Saccharomyces cerevisiae S288C: one gene and its partners. Changing the gene in region 1 together with any one later gene gives a genetic interaction. Each region holds a gene or a part of one and is shown on either strand. Other genes may lie near its edges.

The links.
Region 2: mutations in YLL006W-A (region 1) and AYR1 together harm fitness more than expected from each alone (negative genetic interaction), as found in Saccharomyces cerevisiae (one large-scale study listed by BioGRID).
Region 3: mutations in YLL006W-A (region 1) and YER186C together harm fitness more than expected from each alone (negative genetic interaction), as found in Saccharomyces cerevisiae (one large-scale study listed by BioGRID).
Region 4: mutations in YLL006W-A (region 1) and BER1 together harm fitness more than expected from each alone (negative genetic interaction), as found in Saccharomyces cerevisiae (one large-scale study listed by BioGRID).

The regions. Positions count from the first base shown.
Region 1 is NC_001144.5:134,712-137,021, forward strand, and holds YLL006W-A (uncharacterized protein), read left to right. Parts: upstream 1-1,633; coding exon 1,634-1,810; downstream 1,811-2,310. Other genes in the region: LMO1 (Lmo1p), read right to left, coding at 1-1,588; ERMES complex subunit MMM1, read left to right, coding at 1,875-2,310.
Region 2 is NC_001141.2:124,618-127,616, forward strand, and holds AYR1 (acylglycerone-phosphate reductase), read left to right. Parts: upstream 1-1,586; coding exon 1,587-2,480; downstream 2,481-2,999. Other genes in the region: alpha-ketoglutarate dehydrogenase KGD1, read left to right, coding at 1-1,116. UniProt on the Saccharomyces cerevisiae protein: Can convert acyl and alkyl dihydroxyacetone-phosphate (DHAP) into glycerolipids and ether lipids, respectively. Required for the biosynthesis of phosphatidic acid via the DHAP pathway, where it reduces 1-acyl DHAP to lysophosphatidic acid (LPA).
Region 3 is NC_001137.3:561,170-564,592, reverse strand, and holds YER186C (uncharacterized protein), read left to right. Parts: upstream 1-1,967; coding exon 1,968-2,888; downstream 2,889-3,423.
Region 4 is NC_001144.5:946,318-949,721, forward strand, and holds BER1 (Ber1p), read left to right. Parts: upstream 1-2,050; coding exon 2,051-2,875; downstream 2,876-3,404. Other genes in the region: high-affinity Cu transporter CTR3, read left to right, coding at 936-1,661.

The DNA of each region.
Region 1 (2,310 bases):
AAACAACAACTTTTGTTCTGCCATTAGCTAATGCCTCAGAACCTGGACTTGTTAAAATTTTATTGTCGAATAGATAAGGTAAATCGTTTGTTTGTGTTTCGAATTCTCTGGCTAATAAATTTGCGTGGTTATCTGAAACTATGAGGAAGTAGACTTTAGGCGTGCCAGCTTCAGGATTCAGTGGGTTCTCTGCGTAAACCCACGTTCCCTTTTGCAATTGAAGAAGTCTTTGATGACGAACGTAATCACGAACCTGGCCTGATAGCATGGTATCGAAGCTAGCGATACTAGATGACCAGGTTCGATACTGTTCTTTTTTGATTGAGTCTAATTGTAATGTTCTTGCAAATTTATATCTCATAGAGTCAAGTGCAACAACTTGGGTCTTGAGAAGGGATTTCGTCTGTATTGCTGCTTCCAAATCACTGGATGACAAACAAACATATTTTAAAGTGATAATAGCTAAATTTAACAGTGAAACCAAATCACTTTGCGATTTTGCTAATGATTCTATCCAAAATCTCAAAAACAACTCGAGTGTTTTGTAAAAACATGTTTGTCGATTGAGAACAGCGGTAGCAATTTGTAATTTTAAATCACGCTCTGAGTCTGAGTATTGGTTCTCTTTTTTCCCACTTAGATTGAAAAGTCTTCTAAATTGGTCTGAAAGTTTAAATATTGCTTCATAAAGAGGGAAATCGTTCTCGCCAAACAACAATTGTTCAGTGTAAAGTCTCTTGAAAGACCCATTAGGACTGTTTAAGAATGTGAATGTATCATACGCATTTAATAAATTTATACTGGGAAGATCGCCCATTTCCATTTCTAACCCTTTTTGGAATACGGAGTTATCTTTGATGGCTGTAAGAAGATCAGCTTTAAGCGAACAGGAATAATCATCAATACTAACCGAAGATAGAAAATTTATTAGCCTCTGCTTTAACGGTACAAATTCTTCAAGGATTAGTGGTTGCAAGTCTTCTATGTAAAGTAATTCAGACATGGAAGCTGGAAAGTTATACTGAAATAGCAAAATGAGGATTCTGGGTACAAATTCTACGGCGTGTGATAGTGATGTCTCACATAATGTAAGTGAGCATTTTAAAAATAGGGTTATGCATAGTATAGTGTCCGTAAACAACGGTATATGAATAGGTCTTTGGGACAAAAGTTGTAAAAGTATTCCAATGAGCTGAGAGTTCTCTCTGGAGATGTGGCAGATGCTCACAATAACTTCATTCTTATTAGAATCTTGGCATTTAAGGGCTACATTAAAAATCCTAATGAGATTTGCTACCAACGTTTCTGACCTTAGCTTTTGGCAATTATCACACAATATAGCCCAAAATCGGGAATCTGGAATTACGGTTTTACATAGGTATTTTTCATCACAAAGGAGGATATAGTTTGCCAATAACTTTTCGTATTCATCACTTGTCTTGTTCAAATTTTTATTACTGATCAGCGTATGATAGCAAGCTTTTGATTGTGCACTCGTAAGTGACTTGACTGGCTTTCCTAATTTAGGATTCAGTAGCACTTTTATGTTTTCCAAGCTTTCATCTGGCATCTGCCTGTTATGCTTCATTGCTTATGCCGTTATTTGAGGTTACTTTAATCTATTTTCCTACTGATGACACAATTGAGTCAATCCAACGTGGAACGGGTTGCCCTTGTATACATTTCAGTTTACTTCTTTTCATGTATTTCCTTAATAGTTTATTTTTTCACTTTCTGCCTATCCGTTTCAATTCCGAAGAACCGTCAACATCCAATAAAGATCATCTACAACAATAAGTGCCCCTCATAATTTTCTCAATGAGATGAAAGAACTTTGAGAGAGTCAATATAATACCTGTAGCCTTTTTCTGAAAATGACTGATAGTGAGAATGAATCCACCGAAACGGATTCGTTAATGACGTTTGACGATTATATAAGCAAAGAGCTACCTGAACATTTACAGAGACTAATCATGGAGAATTTGAAGGGTTCTACTACTAATGACTTAAAGCAAACTTCAAACAACTCAGAGTTTAATGTCAGTAAAAACGGGAGCTTCAAAGGTCTCGATGATGCAATTCAAGCTTTGCAAATGCAAAGCGTGTTGCATCCTTCTTCGTTAGGATCGTTAGCAACGTCCTCCAAATTTTCTGGATGGTCGTTTGCTCAAGGGTTTTTTGTAGGACAGCTAAGCATAGTGTTGTTGTTCATCTTTTTCCTAAAGTTCTTTATATTCAGTGATGAGCCATCTAAAAGTAAGAATCCGAAACCTGCAGCCTCCCGTCACAGATCAAAATTTAAAGAATATC
Region 2 (2,999 bases), on another chromosome or scaffold:
GAAGGCATCGATTGGGCCACCGGTGAAGCATTAGCGTTCGGTACATTGGTTTTGGATGGTCAGAACGTTAGGGTTTCCGGTGAAGATGTAGAAAGAGGTACATTTTCTCAACGTCATGCAGTCTTGCATGACCAACAATCTGAAGCCATTTACACACCGCTAAGCACTCTGAATAATGAAAAGGCAGACTTCACCATTGCAAATTCCTCGTTATCTGAGTACGGTGTAATGGGTTTCGAATATGGTTATTCGCTAACCTCCCCAGATTATCTAGTCATGTGGGAGGCTCAATTCGGTGACTTTGCAAATACAGCACAGGTTATTATTGACCAATTTATTGCCGGTGGTGAACAAAAATGGAAGCAACGCTCTGGTTTAGTTTTGTCTTTACCCCATGGTTATGATGGCCAGGGGCCAGAACATTCGTCTGGTAGATTGGAAAGATTCTTGCAACTAGCCAATGAAGACCCAAGATATTTCCCATCTGAAGAAAAGCTACAGAGACAACATCAGGATTGTAATTTCCAGGTTGTTTATCCAACTACGCCTGCTAATTTATTCCACATTCTAAGGAGACAGCAACATCGTCAATTCCGTAAACCATTGGCGTTATTCTTTTCTAAACAGCTGCTGCGTCACCCATTGGCCAGATCATCTCTTTCCGAATTCACTGAAGGCGGATTCCAATGGATTATCGAAGATATTGAACATGGAAAAAGTATTGGTACGAAAGAGGAAACCAAGAGATTAGTTTTGCTGAGTGGCCAAGTGTACACTGCCCTACATAAAAGACGTGAAAGTTTGGGTGATAAGACCACTGCTTTCTTAAAGATTGAACAGCTGCACCCATTCCCATTTGCTCAGCTACGTGATTCATTAAATTCTTATCCAAACTTGGAAGAAATTGTTTGGTGCCAGGAAGAGCCATTGAACATGGGTTCGTGGGCATACACAGAACCACGCTTACACACAACATTAAAAGAAACGGATAAATATAAGGATTTCAAGGTCAGATACTGTGGTAGAAACCCAAGTGGTGCTGTTGCTGCCGGTAGCAAATCACTACATTTGGCCGAAGAAGATGCCTTTTTGAAAGATGTTTTCCAACAATCCTAAAGATGAATTCAAATATGAAAAACATGAAAATACAGCCATATAAACACGTAATATTTTTACCTTAATGTTTATGGACAGCCTTTTTACTTGAAGAATGATCTAACAAATATTTTTTTTGATACATTCACATTTTTTTTTTGTTCATGATGTTAGCATCTGCTTAGTCTTTTTAAAATTATTTAATTTAACGTTTTATTTATGTGAACCTTTTTTTATTAGTTGTATTTACTATTTATTCAAGAATCATTCTTTACTTTATATTGATATCGTTTTTTTCCCCCTACTTCCTCCTCTGGTGTATTCACAGCTAGGTGCTTCTCTTGTCCTCATCCGGTGGAGAAAAAAAGTGAAAAATAAGTCAATGGAAAGGGGGAAGGGGGTAGGTAAATAGAGTGAATAAGTTTTATTCATCATGCCCAACTTCTATTAATATATACTCAATTCAAATATTGATCAGGATTTCAAAGAGTATGTCGGAGTTACAGTCACAACCTAAAAAGATTGCCGTTGTTACAGGCGCCTCAGGTGGTATTGGATATGAGGTAACGAAGGAATTAGCCAGAAATGGCTATTTGGTTTATGCATGTGCAAGAAGACTAGAACCAATGGCACAATTGGCCATCCAATTTGGTAACGATAGTATCAAACCATATAAGTTGGATATTTCCAAGCCAGAAGAAATTGTAACATTTTCTGGTTTTTTGCGAGCTAATTTACCTGATGGTAAATTAGATTTATTGTACAACAATGCCGGTCAGAGTTGTACATTCCCTGCATTGGATGCAACAGATGCTGCAGTAGAACAATGCTTTAAGGTCAATGTGTTTGGTCATATCAACATGTGCCGTGAATTGTCGGAGTTCCTTATTAAAGCGAAAGGAACCATTGTCTTCACTGGTTCCTTGGCAGGAGTTGTGTCATTCCCCTTTGGTAGCATTTATTCCGCTTCTAAAGCTGCTATCCACCAATATGCTCGTGGGTTACATCTAGAGATGAAGCCCTTCAACGTGAGAGTGATTAACGCTATTACTGGCGGTGTGGCTACTGATATCGCTGATAAAAGGCCCTTGCCTGAAACCTCAATATACAACTTCCCTGAAGGTAGGGAAGCTTTTAATTCAAGAAAAACCATGGCTAAGGACAATAAGCCCATGCCAGCTGATGCGTACGCAAAGCAACTGGTTAAAGATATCTTGAGCACTAGTGACCCTGTAGATGTTTATAGAGGAACGTTCGCCAACATCATGCGTTTTGTCATGATATTTGTTCCTTACTGGCTATTGGAAAAAGGACTTTCCAAAAAATTTAAATTGGACAAAGTTAATAATGCTTTGAAGTCGAAACAGAAGAATAAGGACGATTAGTGTTTCACCATCGTCAATAGCTACCTATATTTATATACAAGATTCCGTATAGTTTGTACACCACGTCAGGACATCAATAGCTAATAATCGTTCTAATGCTAATGTTCAACTGCTCTTTAAGTATTGTTTACGTCTCGTCGTACCAGTATGCCAAATTCCTGTCACTTCACTCATTCTCTTTGCTCTTACCGTTTGAAACGCGCTGGGACGGAATTCGCTCATTTCGCATCGTGCTTTGTTGTTTTTTTTTTTTCAAAATTGCCATTGTTTATTTATAAACTACATGAAATTATTCTGTATTTATCTTCGCATTCCCTCTCTTACTTCAAAAGTGAGAACAGCATATTCAAATATATATATCTACTCAGTTGAATAAGACACTATAGCAAGACCATTTGAACTGAAAGAAACAGTTTCTTTGCTCCCCTCTCGAATTCCAACTATTTACAGTCCTTCCTTTATAAAAATTAACTAGCGAGCAAGAAAACATTTGTTTAGTGCTACCCAACTACTTACATT
Region 3 (3,423 bases), on another chromosome or scaffold:
ATAAATATAATGAAACTTGTTTGAAAAAGAGCGGGAGCTCTGCTAGATGGAAGAGTTGCGTACAATACTTTTTTTTGAAGATGAGAAAACACTGGCTAAGGTAAAGCAGGTTTCCTGTAAAAGCTGCTAAACCGTCTTTCACGGTTTTGTAATCAAAAAGGCTTCTTACTATCCTTTCCCAGAACGAAATCATACGCATATTTGCCCACATTGTTAAGAGTTTGAATCATTAAAGCAACAATATACTACTAGACCTCTATCTTCTTCAAACCAATAGGTTCTGCTGTCGTAAAAGCATTCTTTTATCAATAACTGTAAAATGTCGTTATGAAAGCCCTTCGTTAGTCTCTTTGCAACCTCCAGCAAACTTGCTGAACTTTCTTTTTCAATGGTGTGTGATCTCTATATCTTGTGAGGCTTGCTATGTTTTAGTAGAAACCATTTGGTTTTTATTATCGAAGCAGTGTATGAGCACAGTGAGAGCTTTATATTGTGACAAGAATTGCGTTTACCTTAAAATTTCGAAGTACATTTCCTTGTATTGTCTAGGTTATGCTGGTTAGTTAATGGGGCGGGAAGTGGTTTAGTAAGGTAGAGGTCCCGTTGGTTATTTTTGTGGAGTTAGGAAGGTTCAATAATGTCAGACATCCGTTAAATAATTACATCTATACAATTCTTAAAAAGAAAAGAAGCGCTTTGGGCAAATTTTGAAAACAGAAAATCGCACACTTCTAAGTTCAGTCCCTTTTAACATTCATTCAAAGCTATTTTCTAGCAATTGTTTGTTCTTATATCTTACACCTTACATGCCCGCAAAGGGATGATCTTACTTTCGACAGGTAGATGTTATATCAAGATATAGATGATCTTTGAAGTCAAAATGATGGCACAGTAATCACTCATTTAGCTATTTCTGTAGTTAGTTTGTATAATGAAACGATATTAAAGACAGGGATCACATACAAGTTAAAAATTTTGTATAATCAAAGAAATAAAATATCTTCCCTTTACTCTTCTTTGCATTATCCGCCATTACACTATCAGACACTGCAGAGCAATAAATCAAGTAAAAGAAAATTTTTTTAGTATAATTCAGCTTCAAGTGAAGTGACTTCGAAATTGAAACTCCATTACTGTCTAATATAAAATTTGATGGAAATCGAAGTTAAAAAATCATCGGAGAATATAATCTAGCTAAACCAACAATATTTTTATTGTACAAATCTTCGTTTTACGTACCGCACCTGACCAAGTGGTTCGCAAATTTGCGAGTAATTTTACGTCTGTATGTTAAGGCTTGTCGGGATCTACCCCTCTTCTTGTGTTCCTCCTAAATTTCTATTAATTATATAAAGATTGGCATATGACAACGAGAGAAAATTTTATACAGAACAAGGTTACAGGTAAATTGTAACACATATTTGTTACAATAAGAGTAAAAAAAGTCTTTCCGCAACACGCTATACCTGATGGATGTTTTACTCGAATTAATAAAGTTATATAATTCAAATGGTGAGTCTCTTCTGTTTTAGCTAATTATGCACCTATTTTCTACGACTTTAAAAGTTTAAAAGATCCAAGTCGAGTTCTGCCTGAATTTGAAACTAATAACAAGCCTTTATTAGGTTTTGGGAAGGGTTTCTTGATTGCATTATACGTCTTAGAAGAGGATGAGGCCCAAGGTTTTGATTTTCTTGGAACGCGCAACCATCATCAGAAATAAAATAAAATTATTGGTTGACCTTTTTTACCTAAAGGAAAGTCTGAAAATGCTGTTGCAACAACGGCAGCGCCCTGCTTTAAGCAAGGCACGTGGTCCACCAAGAAAATAACTAAGAGGATGAATTCTCCTATTTTAAGCCAGGAAACTAGTCAGTAACATACGCCAAGGAAATGAAAGCATAGGATGCGGGCTGATTACCGAAGTCAAAGGTTCTAGTATATGATCGAGTTCTGTAAACAGTATCATGCTGTGGCATCCTGATGGTTACGAGCCTCGAGTAAAGGCTATAGAAGAAGAAATCTACGCTAACGAAGACAGGAAGGATGTTCCGGATAAGTTTAAATTTGATACTGTAACGAAAACTGGAATGGTCAAGCTTCGTGTTTTCAAAGACGATCTAATATTCAAATCACAACGATCTATAAATCTGTTTGCAAGTAGGAAGCATCCCTTCAAGTCATTTACGGCGGATGGAGAGGGCTTGCCGTTATTTGCCTTCCGCACTAAGAAGCCTTTTTTTGTTAGGCGAGATTATGTGGGTTTTCTTTTTTATCAATACGAGATATTGAAAAATGGGGACTTCCCTGAAGAGTCGGATTATGAGGTAAAAGGAGAGTGCGACGGTTTCACTCTGTTTAAAGTTCTTTTTTGCACTGTTAAGGTGAAGAAAACAAGCTATTATCGCAATAAGGAGAGAATATCCCACATACTAGAGCTCAACTTCGGAAAAAAGGAAGATTTTAGGATATTGACACTGGTTAGATGCTCTGAAATTAGATCAGTATATGTTGTAGAGGATAAAAAGGTTATTATGAAATGGGTTTTCACCTCAGAGAGTAAATTTAATTTGAATTCCTCACTGTTCATCATAAAGGCCGCAATTGGCTGTTTACCAGAGGTGGGTGATAGCATAGAGGACATACCTAAATTTGATTGGGACTCCTGCCCTACTATTGGATGTATGTGCAGAACTAAGGAGGCTCTTTTTCAACCTGAGTCTCGAAAAGATATGCATATATGCCCTCAATTATTTTTAGGGGAAACCGGACCGCCACATTATAATGAGAGTTCAGTTCCGTGGCTAACAAAAATGAATATATGCATTTCAGTGCTAATAAATTTCCTTGAATATACCGATTTCATGTCTTGGATGCAGGATAATTAGAAATTTCTATTTAACACTGCAGAAAACTGTGTTCATTTAAAGAAATTCTTGCGGGTTAATGCTATTATGATATTTTCTGTTGATTTGGTGATAAATTATATTATATGCTATATACTAATTCCTTTGGAAATAAAAGAAGGCCTTAAAATTACCCTGCGGAGGGGACTATTAAATAGAATCATTTATATGAATACTAAGGAGAGTTCAGTATCAAGATAACAACGAAAGTTTGAACTGCTAAAATTATTTTCAAGTATTGCTGACCGTTAAGAAATTTTCTGCTCCATTAATTCATTGAGGCGAAGACAAGCGCACTTTTACTCTTGTGTTTATAAAGCTAAATGACATTGTGGCTCACTTCAATAGCCGTACTCTTTGAACTAAAAAATAATTCTAAGACACTGAGTTTCACGTCAATTGAAAAAAAATATATAACACCAGCTTCATTACATGTTAGTGTGCCTTTAATTTGGCGTTAATACATTCTCCTTGACACATACTATACATTGATTCTGTGATGAGTACCGATATAGGA
Region 4 (3,404 bases), 810 kb from region 1:
AACCTACCAAGCCAGATAATAAACTAGTCGCAATAAGCGATGCTTCATATGGTAACCAACCATATTACAAGTCACAAATTGGTAACATTTTCCTACTCAACGGAAAAGTGATTGGAGGAAAGTCGACAAAGGCTTCGTTAACATGCACTTCAACTACAGAAGCAGAAATACACGCAGTCAGTGAAGCTATACCGCTATTGAATAACCTCAGTCACCTTGTGCAAGAACTTAACAAGAAACCAATTATTAAAGGCTTACTTACTGATAGTAGATCAACGATCAGTATAATTAAGTCTACAAATGAAGAGAAATTTAGAAACAGATTTTTTGGCACAAAGGCAATGAGACTTAGAGATGAAGTATCAGGTAATAATTTATACGTATACTACATCGAGACCAAGAAGAACATTGCTGATGTGATGACAAAACCTCTTCCGATAAAAACATTTAAACTATTAACAAACAAATGGATTCATTAGATCTATTACATTATGGGTGGTATGTTGGAATAAAAATCAACTATCATCTACTAACTAGTATTTACGTTACTAGTATATTATCATATACGGTGTTAGAAGATGACGCAAATGATGAGAAATAGTCATCTAAATTAGTGGAAGCTGAAACGCAAGGATTGATAATGTAATAGGATCAATGAATATTAACATATAAAATGATGATAATAATATTTATAGAATTGTGTAGAATTGCAGATTCCCTTTTATGGATTCCTAAATCCTCGAGGAGAACTTCTAGTATATCTACATACCTAATATTATTGCCTTATTAAAAATGGAATCCCAACAATTACATCAAAATCCACATTCTCTTCACTTCTCCGATAGACTTGTAATTTATCTTATTTCATTTCCTAACACTTTGATCGAAGAAGAGGGATAACAACAGACGAAAACACATTTAAGGGCTATACAAAGATGAATATGGGAGGCAGTAGCAGCACTGCTGCCAAAAAAGCGACTTGTAAAATATCGATGTTATGGAATTGGTATACCATTGACACCTGCTTCATTGCCAGATCTTGGAGAAATGACACCAAAGGAAAATTTGCTGGTTCTTGCATCGGCTGTTTTGCGCTTGTGGTGGTAGCTCAATGGCTTACTCGTTTTTCAAGGCAATTTGACGTAGAGCTATTAAAAAGACAGAAAATAAAGCATTTAGCTAGTTACTCGCCAGAGGAGTACGTTGTCAAATGTGGAGAAGAGGATGCTAAATCTGATATAGAAGAACTACAAGGCTTTTACAACGAACCAAGCTGGAAAACAACTTTAATTTCCTTACAAAAAAGTTTCATTTATAGTTTTTACGTTTGGGGTCCAAGGAGATTGAACGAGCCAGAAGACGACCTGTTAAAGAAGGTCCTATCATGCTGTACATTAATAACGCCAGTGGATTTGTACCCAACTTTTTTGGATCACATGATAAGAGTTACTATTTTCGTATTACAGTGGGGGTTATCTTATATCATCATGCTGCTGTTCATGTACTATAACGGCTATATCATTATTAGTTGTTTAATAGGTGCTATCGTTGGTCGTTTCATATTTTGCTATGAACCTCTAGGCTCATTGGGTGCTAATGGATCAGCCCAGGGTACAGTGAGTTATGATAAAGAGAGTGATGATCGCAAATGCTGCTTGTAGAAAGACAAAAATGAATAGAGGAAAGCCGAGAGGTTTGTTTCAAAAATTGACGCCTTCCTCATTTTTTTCATAATTAGCTGGTAAAAGTTACTATTTGTAACGACTGCTAAATAACAAATAATTATTCGTGTAAAAATAAATAGCTAATACCACCAGGTGTTCATATTCCATGACTGCATATTTGGGAAACGAGACGGTTTGAACATCCTTAGTTGATGTAAAACTATAATAAAAGCTCTATGGGAAGTAAACTATCTGCGGGTCGGGTAAGGAATGATGCTTGCTCGACGTGTAGCGATGAAAAAAGTGAAAACTTATTTGAACTCTAGAAAACTGCTAAGATCCTGAACTGATACCGAAGTTAATGACCTTGACCGGTCTTCTGCTGTATGGATTTTAAAGCAAGTGGGACAAAGTTTAAGAAAACTGGCAAGAAGGTAGTGCCTGCTAAAGCGTTTGAAGAAATTGTTCAGACAAATAGAGATGTTCTGAAAAAATCAGCATTCCTCTCAGATTTACTTGAAAATTTACAACCGCACCTCAATAACATTAAGAAAATACGATGTGTTGCAATTGGAAATTTCAAGGAGGATTTTCCTGCGACGTACCAATTCGCTCTTCTCCTAGAGATTACTGATTATATAAAAAGTGAGGATGAAAGGGATGTCGTTGTTTCCCTGTATGATCCAATATTTACTAAAGAAGAGATACAGTACTTGAAAAGTTTAGGAAGCAAATGGCTGATAGAGGAAGAATTTTCAGAGAACGATGCAATTGATTATGAATCGGTATTATATTTCCTTCCCCATGCTCCTTTGGATTTAACTGAGAACATACTATCGTCACAGCGACCACACTTATGGCTGGCAAATAATATGATATCACACACCGATAGATACACCAAAGCAAAACTTTGTGAAAACTATCCTAATTTAAGCAAGCTAGTTCATTACTTGCAGACTAACGCTCCGCCAGAAGTTAAAAAAGCACATGATGTAGATGGTTTTGCAACATTCATTCCAAAGAGAAAAAGAAAAAACAGAAACAACTCCTCTAAACTCAAGGTCACACCATCTGATATAGACTATGATTCAATAGCACCGAAGTTTAAGTCCTGCCAAATACTCACCGATTTTGATGAAGGAAAGTATTTGAAGGAAAAACCCTGGATCAATTCCTTCTCTGACTTGACGTTACATGCTATAGAGTACTAACATATCATTCACTACATAGTACTTTATAACTAAACTGTAACCTTTCAGGGCATCGTAACCTGACGCTTTACCATCAATAACGACACGAGACCGCTTTATCTATGATACTGGAACAATCAACATGATTGTTATAAATGTACTCGACAGGATCATGAAAGGATACCAACTTAGTTGCCGGTTCATTGAAATGGAAAGCTCAAGAACGTATACTGAAAGAGAGCGACGTCTACTTTGCCCACAAAAATCTACTCTCTGAATTGAATAGTATTTAGAGATTGCATAATTCAAGCCCTCCTCGAGGAAAGGATATAAATGAAAATACCGTTTTTCCTGCTGATGGTTATCGTCCCTGTCAAGGATACTTCTCGGACTCGAACAACGTTACAGCTCAACTTAAAGAAGGCTAAATACGACAAGGGCGCTTGCCCTAAGAGGAACTGTTTCTAAGTTCTAACGAGTGCCTGCGAAGATCGGTTTTTTTTAACTTCGCGGGCGAATTGATAAATAAAGTTCTTCTTGCAATTTTTTA